Linked DNA regions of Caenorhabditis elegans. The gene in region 1 interacts genetically with each later gene. Each region holds a gene or a part of one and is shown on either strand. Other genes may lie near its edges.

Region 1 (5,243 bases):
CTCGCTCCTTCGAACAATGATACATATCCTGTGATGGCCGGGCGATTCTCAATTGTCCTGTCACGAATTTACACGTATGCATTATATACTTCACAAGATTTCGAGCTTCAACAATTGCCAATGGAGGAGGTGTCATCGTTGACATGGCGGTTAAAATCGCTTCGGGAGACGTTTTCTTTCCCTCTTTTGTTGGCGGAGGAAGCTTGTTCGGATCTCCACCACTCTCATCTGCATCTTCCGACGTGGATGGTTCTGATGCCAGGAATTCCAGCTCTTCAACTGAATCAATGGAGAGCCGACGGATTCTTCGTTTCGGTACTCCTCGTATAGTGTCCTTTGGGATATTCATTCCAGGTTTCTCGGCGTCTCTCTCATAACTTTTGTATTCGTAGTCTATTTCGGTTCCGTATTGTTGGAAGAGAATAGGCATGTGATAGACTGCAAGAGTTTTGAGCTTGGCCACGTGCGACTCCAGGATTTCAATGAGCAGATCACGAGTCTGAAACTTATTTCGAAGTGAGATACGATTATTGATAGAATAAGTCTTACGGTATCATGTGAATCCATTTTGCACAGAGATTCGGCCAGTGAGTTGAGCAGCCGAGCAGACATAATCTGGACTTGAGAAGAGTTGTTAGGATCGTGAAGAGTGCGACAGAATACGAAAATCACGCTGAAATTTCAACATTTTTCATCAGAAAGTCTTATTCAAACTTACTGTGTGATCATTTCATAGTCTATAGAATTTCGCATGTGATGCAACAGATCTGCTAGCATTTGATACATGAAAACTCGCAAATGCTCAATCGCAGTGAATCCTGTTCCCAGAACAACCTCCTCAGCGATGAGTCGAGGTAGCATTGGAAAGAATTTCGACTTCATTTCTCCAGATGTGAAATACTTCAAAGCCATCAGAACTTCTCGTCGGACACTTATCAGATCAGCCGGGCACCGCTCGAGCATCTGCATTGTTCCCGACACTAGAAGCGGTCCATTTTGCATGATAAGATCCATAAACTGAAAAATAAAAATCAGGATTACAGAAAAAAAACTTGAAAAAACGAAACTTACCGCTGGAATCTTAGCCATAATGTTGACGAATGACAGGAATCGGGACTGTGCACTGACAAAATCATCGGTTATTATTTGATTTGTTTTGAGTTTATCCTCGTCTGGAACTCTGACATTTAGAAAATCAAGACCAAGCCTCATGAAATCAAGCGCTTCGGTTTGGATCGCTGTTTTGAAATGTTGATAGAAGAAAATCACGAGATACGGAACCTCCAGGAGCACCTTCGTTGACTGATGAGCTGATGGAATCATATTGTATTTTAATGGCGGTTTTCCTTCCGTTCCGTTGAGAAGAACCGTTTGTTGATAGTAGCAAGTCTTCAAATATTCAGTGATGACTTGCTCGTCGGAGCTAGTTGACGGTGGAGCTTTATGCTCTTTTATGTTGAACATATCACCAGCTCGACCACTCGCCGTCAGATCAATGACCATTGTTTTGAAGGAGACCATTATCTGTGAAACCTCTCCGCAATATTGCATTTTGCCGGTACTTCTCCCTTGATCGGTGACAATTTTGATAGCCAAATTGGCATTCTCCTCATTTTCCACGGTGATTAGCCTCATCATCTGCTTGATAATTTCTTTGCTATGATGTTTCATGGCTTCTACGTTCGAAAGTCGAAGAATGATTTCAAGCATTAACTTTCGAAGCTGTTGTGTATTGTTTTCAGCAATGAACTGTGGACTTGTGTTGCAGAAAACTTGTAGGAACGAGAGAATGAGCCTCTCCACGACTTTCTCGTGCGAACTTAGTGTGAAATGATTTTCGATTGTGCTCCAAATCTCCTGCAACCGAACAAATTGATTACTTAACACGAATTATTGAAACTAACTTGTAACATTTTCAATTTGACATCATCTCTTTGTGAATTATCGGCAAGATTTTGAATTCTCGTTTCCAGCTCTGTTAGGTGATTACTCCGATCGGACTGCACAGACCGATAGCCTGGAGAAGCCATAGCCGGATCCATTTTGTATTAGTGACCAGCACTGAAGATACTTCTAAACTATTGAGCTTTGTGCAACTATTTGAATAATTTATCTGAAACAAGATTTACGTGTTTAATTCACTAAATTGCGAAGGAAACAGATTATAAAATGAAGAATGGAGTAGAATGAACTATTAGGAAGTGAATGCAACAAGAAAAATCAGTCAGAAAACGCTGAAATTATCGGAAAACTGACATTATTTCAGCAGAAACAAAGAAACAACTAAATTTCAAACGAGAGCGAATTGTCTGCTGACGCGTATGTGTGTGTGTTGGCGCACTCGCGGTTGTTGGCGCATTTCACGTGCATTGCCACGAACGAGAGAGGAGATTTTATTGAATAAAAAAGATGTGACCTGATTAATATTTGACCCTTTCTTGACTTTTTCTTTTATTTTTATGATTATTAACAGTGTAATAACAAATTTCAGACACATGGGATCAGTTATAACCAAGGAAACGGTCTTACAGGAGAATATTTATCTGAAGAAACTCAGCGGTTTGGAACCTGTCGACGATTATGACCCATTTTGGAACAAACTTCTCTCTTTCAGTCTCAAGTTTGATGATGACGACGAGTAAGGATTAAAATTAGGCAAAAGCTTTAAAAATGTTATAATCGTTTAGAGACACCCGAATCGCTTTGGAATCTGCTTTAGATGATCATCTTCAATGTCTAATGTACAATACACAAACAACAGGAAATTTCGCTGCATTTATTCGACTTTTCCTTCGCAGAGCCACAGAACTAAAAACATCAGAACAATGCGAAAAGTGAGTTGGAAAAAAAAATCATCATTATATTTAATTAAAGCTTTTTCTTATTTCAGTAAAATCTACTTATGGCAAACATCAAACGCTCTTCTCATTCTTCGTTACATCGCCAGATTTTTAACTCAACGTATGACGGAAAAAGAATTCGTGAGGATTTTCGCCAAAAGTCATGAGAGTACGGAAACCGAATCGTCGTCTACATCTTCCTCGTCGGATGAGGAAGATGATGACGAACAGAAATCAGAAAACGAAAATAATAATGGAGGTAAATAAGCTTCATTTAAAAAAAAAATTCAATAATAATCAAATTCTGACGTTTTCAGCGACAAAATATATCCCGATAGTTTTTCAAAACACTGCAGAAGAGTTCACGTATGAGCTGGTTTCGATTTTAATCAATATTTCTGTAAAGTGAGTTTTAAATTATTTTTTAAAAAATTGAATTAAAATAATTTCAGCGAAACAACATTGGCAATCCATGTCGAAGCAGTTCGATGTCTCCTAACTCTCCTGAGCTCTCAACTATATAATGAATCAATTGTGAATACTTCAATTGTCTTCAGATTCTTTATTGATGGATCATGTGCGAAACACGCAGCTTCGCTCACTAAAACTCTTCTTCTCAATTATTTGATCCACAATTCAGAGTATCACATGACTGTACAAAAGCCACAAGAGAGCATTGTTTTTGGATTAGCTTGTATGTCACTGAAAATCTTTTTTAATTCTTTATTAAATTAAAAAAAAAACACGATTTTTAAGCATCAATGTGGTCAATGGTCCAAATGGCAACTGGTATCGACTCCGCAGAGGAAGAAAAGAAGCCCCCACTTACTCTTGGAAACTTAAGCATCCTGCTTCTCCTCAATCTTTCATGCCATCAACCTCTCAATTCATCCAATCCATTCAAAGAAACCCTTGCTCTCTTCCAAAATGCTCAAGAAGTATCCACATTGCCTACTCAGATTGTGTCGTTCAAAATCGATTATAATGGATTATACGAAAGATTGTGTGCTACCGCTGGCCAGGAACCTCCGATGCTTCTACTCTACATGCTTCTACAGGCGAACTCGGGATTCCGGAACTATGTGTTGTCTCGGATCAACCTCGAGAATCTAGTTGTTCCTGTTCTTCGAATTCTTCACGACGGTGTCGCGACATCGAACAACTCTCACCATGTTTATCTTGCATTGATTGTCGCCTTGATTCTCAGTGAAGATGATATTTTCTGCAAGATTATACACGAGACGGTGAGTTTTCACTAGAAATGCTAAGATTATATTGAAGTATATATTTGCAGATGATCAAGGATCTCGGCTGGCTGGACAGTGATTTCAGTGTCCGCGAGATCTCTCTCGGAGGTTTGACAACTCTTGTGCTGGTTCGAGCAATTCAGAAGAATGCTTTGAAAACTAGAGTTAGTTGTTGCTACCAAGGGTGTCATTTTTCAATTTTTTTTTCGATTTTTTGACGTTTTTCAGTGGAAATCGAAAAATCGAAAAAAATGTTCAGAAAATTAACCATAAAATATGATTTTTTATCTAATTTTGTTTATATTGATAAGAACAAACATAAAAGTTTCATCTAAAAAGAAGAATAATGGCCAATATATCAAGCTCCTTTTTTAAAAATCGAAAAATCGAACAATTGAAAAAGCGAAAAACCGACAGTTGCTACCTGAAGATACAAAATTTTGTTTTTTTTTAAACCAAACTCAAATTTTTCCAGGACCGATATCTTCACACAAACTGCTTAGCTGCTCTTGCAAACATGTCAGCTTTCTTCAAAAATCTTGCTCCAATTGTTTGCCAAAGACTCATATCACTGCTTGATCTTCTAACAAAACGGCATGCTAAAATGGTGGATCATATGAGAGTCAGCAGTCAGAATGATGTTGCAGATGGACAGCCGATCAATTTCGTAAGTTCATATTTTGTTCAAAAATCCAAATAAAAAGTATAATATTTCAGCATGACGACATTACTGCTCTCGAAGAAGGAATTCGAACTCTCCTTGAGATCATCAACAGTGCACTTTGTGGAGGACTCCGTCACAATTCACACCTCATCTACAACCTTCTCTACCATCGTGCTCTATTCGATGCATACGTTCAGCACCCAATGTTCCAAGATCTTCTTGTTAACATCGCAGCAGTAATCTCTCACTTCTCGTCGAAAGTGATACATGTCCCAGCAGGCGATGGATCCACAATGCTGCAAATAATCGAGAAGGAGGCAAACATATGGCCAACCGATCGACTCGCAAAGTTCCCAGAATTGAAGTTCCGATACGTGGAGGATGAGTACACTGTCGATTTCTTTGTGCCATACGTCTGGAGGCTATCTGTTCAACATTCGGGAATCTACTTCGAAACATCAAGAATCAAAATATTTAACGCCCAAAGTATTG
Region 2 (5,243 bases), on another chromosome or scaffold:
TTAGGTATAATTACAATTTCACTCTGAAATCAACATGAAAGTTTCATAGCTGTGTTCTTTTTCCAACTTTTGAAATATACTACTGTCTGAGCGGTTTTTAACTGAATCCGACGATATCAGAACGGGAAAATGAAATTTATGAAAATTTTCCAAACAAAACTATTTTGAAACCTTATTAGGCACTAATCAGTTATTGTAGAAAAATTCTCAATCTGTCGTTTTTGAAAACATTCCTGTCAACTTTGTGATTTGGCATAATAATAAGAAACTCGACAAGTAGGGCTCTATATACCCACATATCTTTTCGGACAGAGGGAATGCGAAAAATTAATCAATCGCAAACTTGTTAAGCTTAAGATAAGGAACACTTTTCCCGTGCAAACTATTTGAAAAAAAATCTGAATGGATCCAGATTCGAACCAGCAATGACTCTACTGAAGAGCGCGCGCTTTACCACTTCTCCAAACAGGCAAGTGGCGGCCGCGGTTCCAAGGAATATGTGAAACCAACCGAGCTGTACGAAGTAAGAAGCTTCCATTACTTTTTCAGATATTTAGTTCTGAAAACTTTGTCAACTCTCCTTATCAACAACTAAATGGTCCTTTTTGTAGTTATTTCTACTGGAAAAAAAGAGTGTGCCTGTAAATAATATCCTGCGTATAAACGTTGTTGTCCAGTGAAAACCTTCGCTTGACTTGAAATTTATCTTGAAAACTACTTTTTTTGAGTGTATTTTTAAACATTCTACAAATTCCACTTAATAGCAGCTCGGGAACTTCTGTGATTCATCGAATAAGCTATTTTCAAAAAAAAATTGGCCCAAAATTTGTTTCTGAAAAACGGCCCCAATCTTGTTTTTTTCCAGTAATAAATGCAATCTGAATTTTTTCGAAATTATTTTTCGCATGGAATGTCCTGTTTTTGGGTTTCAAACGCACTTTTTTGTCAATTTTGCTTTTTAAAAATATGAAGTGTCGTCGAATAAAATGCACGGTACGCAAAAGTACGCAAACACCGACATGTACCGTACTCCGGAATTTTTTCAATTTCGATCGAATTCGATTTGCCAATAACGAAAACGACGAAAACGTTACGTTTGAAGCCGGAAAATGGGATTTTGATACGAAAAATTATTTTAAAAAATAAACTTTTTATATACACTCTTGGAAAAATAAGAACTGTAGTGGTTTTTGAGAAAAAACATTTTAGGCCCAAAATTTAATTTCAAATGTTTCATTTCTGTATCTCGTATCAACATGCATGTACAATTTTCTAGAAATTTCAAGTCAAGGGAAGGTTTTCACTGGACAACAACGTTTATACGCAGGATATTATTTACAGGCACACTCTTTTTTGCCAGTAGAAATAACTACAAAAAGGACCATTTAGTTGTTGATAAGGAGAGTTGACAAAGTTTTCAGAACTAAATATCTGAAAAAGTAATGGAAGCTTCTTACTTCGTACAGCTCGGTTGGTTTCACATATTCCTTGGAACCGCGGCCGCCACTCGCCTGTTTGGAGAAGTGGTAAAGCGCGCGCTCTTCAGTAGAGTCATTGCTGGTTCGAATCTGGATCCATTCAGATTTTTTTTCAAATAGTTTGCACGGGAAAAGTGTTCCTTATCTTAAGCTTAACAAGTTTGCGATTGATTAATTTTTCGCATTCCCTCTGTCCGAAAAGATATGTGGGTATATAGAGCCCTACTTGTCGAGTTTCTTATTATTATGCCAAATCACAAAGTTGACAGGAATGTTTTCAAAAACGACAGATTGAGAATTTTTCTACAATAACTGATCAGTGCCTAATAAGGTTTCAAAATAGTTTTGTTTGGAAAATTTTCATAAATTTCATTTTCCCGTTCTGATATCGTCGGATTCAGTTAAAAACCGCTCAGACAGTAGTATATTTCAAAAGTTGGAAAAAGAACACAGCTATGAAACTTTCATGTTGATTTCAGAGTGAAATTGTAATTATACCTAAAATCTGCTACAAGGTAACTTTCAAATTCCAACTTTTGATATTCTTTTTTTCATTAGGTAGTAAAAAATCGTTAATCGTAGTAAAAGATACGAATCGTAGTAAAAAATCAAATTCGGAAACCGTAGTAAAAAAAACGGCCGTAGTAAAAGATACATTTCGTAGTAAAAAATCGAAATTGGAAAATGTAGTAAAAAATACGGCCGTAGTAAAAGAGTAAACCGTAGTAAAAGAGCAACGTAGTAAAAGATGAGGTAGTAAAAGAGCATTTGCCAATTTTGAACATATATTTTGGTAACCTTCAACATGTAAGCTTTTAACTTTAAACAACATTTATCGCTCGTTAAAAATACTAAAAATCTTACTTGTATCAGTTGCGCGAGGAAGAAAACAGTCGGCTTCATAATCGAAATAAGCTCATCTGCATGCAATTTATCAGAAAATGACTTGATTCTGAAATTAATAAACTTGGCAAAATTTTTCAATTAAAAATGCCAACTCACTGTACATAGTTGACCATTTCCCGGATCAATTCGCATTGCAAACATTTCGAATAAATTCTATCTGTTTTTGTATTTATCACACTGTGGATGACTTGATTCCAGGTGATTGACTGTAAATTTATAATTTTTTGGAATAAAACAAAGAACTACAGAGTACCTTATCTACGACAAGTTTGAGAAGATGGTCCCGGAAAACATCATCGATATATGTTCCATTATAAGCAAACCGAATCAAAATATCTGAATAAAATATATTAATACAATTACAAAAAAGAATTGCAACAAACCACAAAGCTGCTGAGTTGAGATACCGGGAAAGTCAACTGGACGAATGACTGATGATACTTTTTGTCGTTTTTCATTTGAGCAATTGCGGAGTTTGTCAATATATTCAATAACTATCTAAAAAAAAATTAAATACAAAATAAGTTTGTTGAAATTAAAATAAAAATTTATTTAAAAAAAAACTCACTTTTGTTGAACTATCAATTTTGATACTATTCATGATTTAATTGATTTAAATTTGAAGCATTTAAACTGTAACCAAAATATATTCAAACACCGACATTAACCCAATATTCGGTGCAATAGTATAAATGGATGTGAGACGTAGACACGCAATAGAGCGAGGTGGCCGAGTGTTTATTGTCCCCCACTACTTGGGGGACTAGGTACGATGCATTCCTCTTCCATTGTACATTTTCTGACATAGGAGGGATGTCTTCCTTCACTTCTCAGAGTCAATGAAAAATTGGGCGTGGACGGCATTTATTTTCAATGATTCTACACAATTTTCAGATGTAATAATCAAACTGCCACCCCAACAATCTCTTAAGACGATTTAATTCAGCTTCATTCACTTTTCATTTTCAAAAAAAAACTTTAAGCTTGTTTTAATTACTTGTTTATAAGTTACCATGGAAACATTACATTTTCTAAAATGTGCTTTGCACTCAAACTATAGTTTAAGTTTATATATAAACTTGGAAATAACAACTTTCAATATCTTGAGCATGTCTCAAATTATTTCATTCGTAATTTTCACTAGTGTTTTTATCAGACCCAAAGCCACTATTGTAAAAAAAAACTAGGCAAAACTTTCAGCCTTTCAAAGCTGGGTGCATCATTTTCTTCATCGGCCAAAAATCATGTTCTCGGCAGAGAGCAACTTAAGAAACAGGTGGAGGTTAAGTAAAACTTTGAGTGAAAATATATTTTTGAAGATAGATGAAAACTTGAAAATCGAAACACAAATACTCGAGGAACGTAAGAAGAAGGCTTTAAAGCTTCTTATCATAGGTACCTGATTAAAAAAAAAAACATAATCAAAATGTAACCTTTATTATATTTAGGTCCGGGAGAGTCAGGAAAAAGTACAATAGTCAAGCAAGTAAGGTAAATTCAATGAAAACTACATTTTTTCAGTTGCTTCCAAAAATTATCACCTACTCAGCTGATTTTCAAAATAATTAGATAATATATTATCGGTAGTTTGTAATATTGAAATTTTGAGAATTCTTCATTGTGGAGGATACAGTGTTGAAGAAAAAAGAGCTCTAAAACATGGAATTTATATAAATATCTTGGAAGGTATTGATGAGATACACTGGGCAATTATGTGGAGACAATTAATTTACGAAAATCCATCTTCAATTGTAAGTAATTACCGTATTTCCTCTATTAGTTTTGCACCCCTTTGCTCAACTTTGACAACTCATATCTCGTTTTGTTTTAAGCATATAAATAATTAACAAACTACAAACGTTAGAAAACATCTTGCAAAAATTTTATCAGTTGACAACTTTTTTATAAAACAAACGACTACTGAGATATGAGCTGTGAAAGTTGAGCAAAGGGGTGCAAAACTAATAGAGGAAATACGGTAAATGTTTCAAAACTAATTTCCATTATAGGAATGCCTAAATCAAATCCGAATATTTACGAAACAGTTCAATAAAACTGGAGAGACTGAAAATGTTTTGTGCAAAGACATTATAAAGTCTATCCAGATGTACATAAAAGATGAAACAGTTGCCATGATGTTGAGGAATAAAACTGTTTATAATATTGAAGACTCAACAATTCAGCAAGTTAAACGTTGGGTTTTATTCAGTCTAATTATTATTATTTCCAGTTTCATTGAAAACCTTGCAAGAGTTATTGGAAAAGAATACTTGCCAACCGGAGAAGATATATTGAAAACCAGAGTCCCAACCTTGGGAATTGCACAATATGAAGCAAATATAAAACATTTGACTTTCAAGTAACACTTTGTTCAGTTTGTTGTGGTTTTTGGAAGGAAACAATTATTTACAGATTCATTTTTTTCGACATTGGGGGACAACGTGCTCAACGTCGAAAAATTACCCATGTGTTGTGAGATGGGCTGGGCTATGCCACCATCTCTCAATTACAAAGTTCTTTGAGCGCGACGAACACATTTCCATCGTGTTCGCCGTAGCTTAAAACCTTTATGCTCCCTTTATTCTCGCAATTCTCTCCCGATTAGCATCTTTCTAAGCGCCTTCCCATTCAAATTTGCCGCCAACCGGCTGGGTCTCGCCACGCGCACGCGCCGCCGACCGCGGCGCGGCGCAGCTTGCTCATCCTAATTGGCTGGCCTAAATAGTTTCATTCATTCGATTATCAACCGCTCCTTCTGAGCGGTCGTCCCCTTTACCTTTTCCGTTTTATTAATTGATATTTAGTTGTTTTCTCTCCGAAGTATTGATTGCATCGGCAATCACGGGCATTGGGATCAGA
Region 3 (5,243 bases), on another chromosome or scaffold:
AAATTTTCGAACAAAAAGGGGTCTGAAAATTGAATAATTGTTCAAAATTGGGGAAAAATTAAAATTTGGTAAATTTCAGCAAATGTTTTTTTGCAATACCTTTAAAAAATTAATACACTCCGGTGCACACCAAGCAATAGGAAGCTTAAGATTCGGTGTAAATTCACTTCGATAATAATCTTCACCAATTCCAAGAGATCTCGATAGTCCAAAATCTGATATTTTCACAAGTTTCGGTGAGAAAACGAGCACATTTCTTGCGGCAAGATCTCGATGAATGAGTCTTTGTAATTCAAGATATGACATTCCCATTGCAATTTGTTCAGCATAATCACATAAAACATGAACTGGAAAACTATCACGGAGAGCCGGTTTGTGAAGGCATTCCAGCAAAGATCCACATGTTGCGAGCTCCGAGACCTGCAAATTTTTTGTTATAATTTTTGAACTTTTAGATAATTCTGAAATGTTCAATTTTTTTCGAAAATTTATGATTTTTTATCATTAAAACTTTCTCACGAGGAGGAGAAGTGCGCAATTTTTGCTGTGAGTTTGACAGTTTCAGGCTAGAATACATCGTTCTGGACCATTTTTTCCGTTTTTTTTTCCTTTTTTTGATGAAAAATGCAAAAAATCAAGCTCTAGGGTTCTATAGAGATTTCTTATTAAAAACAATTTTTAAATACTAATTTTAATTTCAAAAGTCGCATAAAAAATTTCAATTTTTAAAATAATTTTCGGTATTTTTTTTTTCTGTAAAAATGGTCTTTGTTTGTCTTCGTTTAGGCATACGAGAATCTAATATTTATTCTGGGTTTTTCTAGCAAAATCGAAAATTGCATTAAAACTCTATTTTACGATATTTTTTCCATTGTTTTTTGAAATTTTTTTTCGGTTTTATGACAAAAAATTTGAATATACAAAAAATTCTAATATTACCAGATTTGTTCCGGCTTAGATTTTAATTTTTAAATCCTTACCAACATAATTTTTTTCGTATCAAGAACAACTCCATATAGTCTAACAACATGTTCATGTCTCATTCGTGTCATAATTGCAGCTTCTTGTAAAAATGATGATGACGTGGCAAGTAGTTTATCAGATCCAACACATTTTACGGCTACTTGAATGACGTCACTTCCTGCTGAATTCTTCCATCCTGCTTGCCAAACTGACCCGAATTCTCCTTGTCCCAACTCTTTGCAAAGCGTTATTCTGGAAAATTGTAACTTTAGTTTTCAATTAATTTTCTCGAAAAATTAAATCGAGCAATTTTAAAAGAGATTTTTCAATGTTGAAAAAATAATATGATGTAATGTCAAATTTGCAAACACAGTTTTCTTCGATTTTGCAAAATCTCGGAAAGTCGAAACCTCTGTACTTTTTTCTGAAAACAAGGAATTTTTAAATAAATAGTTTGTTTTCTAGGAAACTTGAATTAAAATTTAAAACCTAAAAATAAATAAAATGCAAATTTGCTTGGAAATTTCCGATTTTTCTGATTTTCAATAACGAAAATCAGATTTTTTAAATTTTAGATATTTTTCTTCACTTTTTTGTAGATAACTTATATTTTTATGTGGTGGTTATTCTTGCGAAGAGGAATAAAATTTGCTAAAAATTTTTTATTTTTTAATCTTCGAAAAAAAAAAATTATTTCTTTTGTTTTTTTTTCTGAAAATACCATACTTTTAAAATTAATTTTCTTTCGATTTTTTCAAATTTTTCATTCTGAAAAAATGATCTTTTGCCAAAACATCTTTTTTTCTGGAGTTTTTAAAAAAATTTTTTTTAATTTTCCATTTTGCTCCACGTTTTTCCCAGAAATGCTCACTTTTCAATTGGAATTACATGATGATCATTATCATCTTGATTTGCAACTGAATTCGAAGTTTTTCGATCCAAACTTTCCGCCCTTTTGAATGCTTTTTTCACTTTTCCAAAAATTCCAGACGGAAACATTTTTGTATATTCTTTTCGGAGGCGCTTTTGCTCCGGGCGGCTCATTCCTGAAAAATGTAAGTTTATTTTTCGGATTTTTTTCTGAAATATAATTCTTAATTTCCGATCAATTTTTAATTTAATTTCAGAGAAAAATAAACTAATTTTAAAAAATCTCAAATTAAAAAAAAGAAAACTAAAATAAATGGCCACAAAATGAGCAGTCATACGATTGAAAAATGAGAAAAATAAACACTTGTTTCGATTGAATCGTTGTGTAAATATTGATGGTATTTAGAGGCAGAAAGTAGAAAAAAAAAACAAAACAAATTTAATTATTTTTTGTCGAATATTATTTTTAGAATTTTAAAGAAGTTATTCTGGTTTTTTTTCAGAGATTATTGTTCTATTTTTGAGTGGAAAACTAACAAAACTGTGATTTTTTCGGTATTTTTAAAATAATTATTCATTGAGATTAAAAAAAAAATCCTCACCAACAGACAACAAATCGACTTCTTCGACATATTGTAAATCGGCAGCATTTCGTAGTTTTAGTTTTCGACGGAGATCTGATTCGTAGCTGAAAATTTTATTTTTTAATTACTTGAATCTCGGTTTTTACGCAGAAATTGTTAATTTTTCTTCTGAAAACCCCATTTTTCAGCAAATAATCTTAATTTTCCAGCTCTTACCCTGATAAATCGGCTGCTTGAAGCAGTTTATTGAGCGTCGCATCAGCGGTACCCGCCGTCGGCTCCTCTCGCATTCTTCGAATATTTTTCTTTTTTCGTTGTTTCTACCCCCGGTTGACGTTTGTTTTGCCTGCAATTTTTAGAATTTACAGTCAATTTTACACAATTTAAACGGAAAAATAACAGAATTGAAAGGCGTGGGAGGATGTGTTGACACGTGTTCAGAAAATGAAGAAAAAACAGTTTAAAATAGCAAATACCGTACCCGCCAGTTCTCGAAACGATTTCACGTATTTTAAAGTTTATGCTATGCGCCTTTAAGGAGTACAGTGTTTGATACTTCTGAAATTGCTAGTTTTTTTGAAAACTAATAAATAATTAAGAAAATGGAGCAATTTTTCACTGAAAAATCAATTTCAAAAAAATTAAAAAATTTGAGTTTCAACAAAAATCAATGAAACATTTCTTTGGAAAAAAGATGTTCAAAAAAAGATATTGGATATACATTTCTACATGCAAAGAGAGGAGACCCAGGAACATTGAACAAAAAAAACTTTTGGTCACTCTCACTTCCACTCTCTGCATGTTTAGAATTGCGTGCAATGAACCGGGCAAAAATTCATTTATTTCGACAAATTCGTGTTTGTGCGTGCTTCCCTTTATTTTTCAATTCATTTCCAATACACATTTATGTAGTGTTGAAAACTTACTAAATATGGAAGTTTGTTGCAATAGGAGAATTCAGTATTTTTCGAAAATAGAAATTAAAAAAAAATAGAAAATATTTAAGGCATTTACAGCGAAATACTGCGGAATGTAAATATATTGACGATTCACATTTTTCTGTTAAAAAAATGTATCGAAAAAGTATCGTATTTTATGTTTTTAAAGGCGCACGCAATTCTCCGACTGGGTCTCGCCACGAGAAACAAACGTGTATGGTACAAATTTAGATTTTTCTTTGAAAATTTTCTTGCAATTTCTGCTATTTAGTATTCTCAGCATTTCGAATGATAATCATGAAAATAAATAAAAAATATAAAAATCGGAAAGCGCTACCATAAAATTTTCTAAAATGCTTTCAAATAAAAAACCCGCAAAAACCATTAACTAGACTGATACTATTCTGAATTCGAATTAAACTAGAAAGACGGGAAGTTGAAAAAAAATTTCGAAAAGAATTTATCGCCGCATGGTTCATTAAACAATATCGTAACTTCTCAATTTTCTGAAAACTGTAGTCGAAGGCGCACGGATTTAGCCAGATGGGTCTCGCGGCGAATAAAGTTTTTGGTAGATTCAATTTTTTTCTTTAATTAATTAAACTTAAAATTGTGATAATAACACAACATACATTGATTTTTAAAATATGGATGTGCTCCAAAAGTGCTTCAATAAGTGATATTTATTACCCATTGTTTTTTTTGCGGCGAGACCCATCCGGAAAATTACGTGCGCCTTTAAGCAATATTTTCAGAAAAATGCGAAAGGATTAAAGCATACTACATGGAAACGTAAAAAACAAAGAAAAACTCTAATATTGCATATATCCCGAGAACAATCGAATAAAAAAAGGAGCTCCATTCCGAAAAAATGAAGGAGAAAACGGGAAAGACCATCAATCAAATTGGATGTGGAAACACATGGAGAAGAAAGAAAAAAAAAGAAAAAAGGGCGAATATCTTGTAATAGTAGTACTGGTGGTTGTAGTTGAAGTACACTTTGAAATAGTGTATGACTTCAAGCGAACATGAGGCGCAGACGGTTAGATACAATTAGCTAATGAATGTAAAGTTTCTTTTGCTTTATTGTTACGGAGATTCTAAAGTTTTTGAATTTTTTGCAAGGTTTTAAAAAGGCGCACGAATTCATTCGGATAGGTCTTGCCACGAGATGAAAGAAAAGTTTTGAAAAATCATTTTTCTAAAAAAAATCATAGATGAAATACTGAAAAGAAAATTTCAGAAAAAACTGCACACAAAATTTCGAATAGCGTAACACTGCGAAGCCAGGATATGTTTTTTTTTAATTCTTTTTTATATGAAAATTCAATTTTTCCCAATTTTCAGTTTTTTTTTTCAATTGATGCACCATGGTGTCTACATAGCACATTTCCAAGTTTTTTTTTCATTGATAAGTTCTAAAGTTCAGTGTATTTATAGGTGTCTGTCGGTATCTTTTCTTTCATTTTTTGTTGTTAAAAACCATCATTAAAATTTATATTGCCATGGTTAACTTGATGTAGAACACTTTTAAATACATATGTAGCATGTGTATTATTTTCTTTAATGTTCGTTAGGTTTGAAAAAACACAACTAGAAAAAATTGACCTGAATGTTATTAAATGCTCTTTATATTTGTGACAGGGGGCGGCAAACGATTTATTCCGGCAAATCGGCAAATCGGCAAATTGCCAGAATGGAAAATTTCCGGCAAATCGGCAATTTCCGACAATTTCGCATTTATTTTTTGGAAATTTCAAAAATTCAATTTCAAATGGCAAAATTAAACGCATCCCATGAATGTTCCTACATTTATTTTGAAAAGTAAGCGAATTCTATTTAAATATGTTTTAAAAAAGCGGAAAAAATTCAAAAAAGACTTAGTTTT

The links.
Region 2: of trr-1 (region 1) and lin-25, changing one enhances a phenotype caused by changing the other (phenotypic enhancement), as found in Caenorhabditis elegans (one large-scale study listed by BioGRID).
Region 3: of trr-1 (region 1) and ark-1, changing one enhances a phenotype caused by changing the other (phenotypic enhancement), as found in Caenorhabditis elegans (one large-scale study listed by BioGRID).

What each region holds. Positions count from the first base shown.
Region 1 is NC_003280.10:11,673,815-11,679,057, forward strand, and holds the start of trr-1 (Transcription-associated protein 1), read right to left. Parts: upstream 2,114-5,243; 5' UTR 2,043-2,113; coding exon 1,905-2,042; intron 1,858-1,904; coding exon 1,072-1,857; intron 1,018-1,071; coding exon 719-1,017; intron 674-718; coding exon 550-673; intron 506-549; coding exon 1-505. Other genes in the region: C47D12.2 (Dymeclin), read left to right, coding at 2,496-2,638, 2,688-2,834, 2,891-3,099, 3,158-3,245, 3,293-3,534, 3,597-4,084, 4,135-4,251, 4,563-4,754 and 1 more.
Region 2 is NC_003283.11:12,647,699-12,652,941, reverse strand, and holds the start of lin-25 (Protein lin-25), read right to left. Parts: upstream 3,018-5,243; 5' UTR 2,986-3,017; coding exon 2,953-2,985; intron 2,883-2,952; coding exon 2,768-2,882; intron 2,721-2,767; coding exon 2,638-2,720; intron 2,591-2,637; coding exon 2,481-2,590; intron 2,431-2,480; coding exon 2,343-2,430; intron 1-2,342. UniProt on the Caenorhabditis elegans protein: Participates in the inductive signaling pathway downstream of let-60 Ras and the RAF/MAP kinase cascade to regulate specification and differentiation of many cell types. Positively regulates the fate of vulval precursor cells.
Region 3 is NC_003282.8:12,628,260-12,633,502, forward strand, and holds the start of ark-1 (Ack-related non-receptor tyrosine kinase), read right to left. Parts: upstream 2,764-5,243; 5' UTR 2,708-2,763; coding exon 2,634-2,707; intron 2,522-2,633; coding exon 2,436-2,521; intron 2,010-2,435; coding exon 1,835-2,009; intron 1,216-1,834; coding exon 981-1,215; intron 421-980; coding exon 100-420; intron 1-99. UniProt on the Caenorhabditis elegans protein: Probable tyrosine protein kinase which plays a role in vulva development, probably by acting as a negative regulator of the let-23/EGFR and let-60/ras pathway. Involved in the negative regulation of germline development.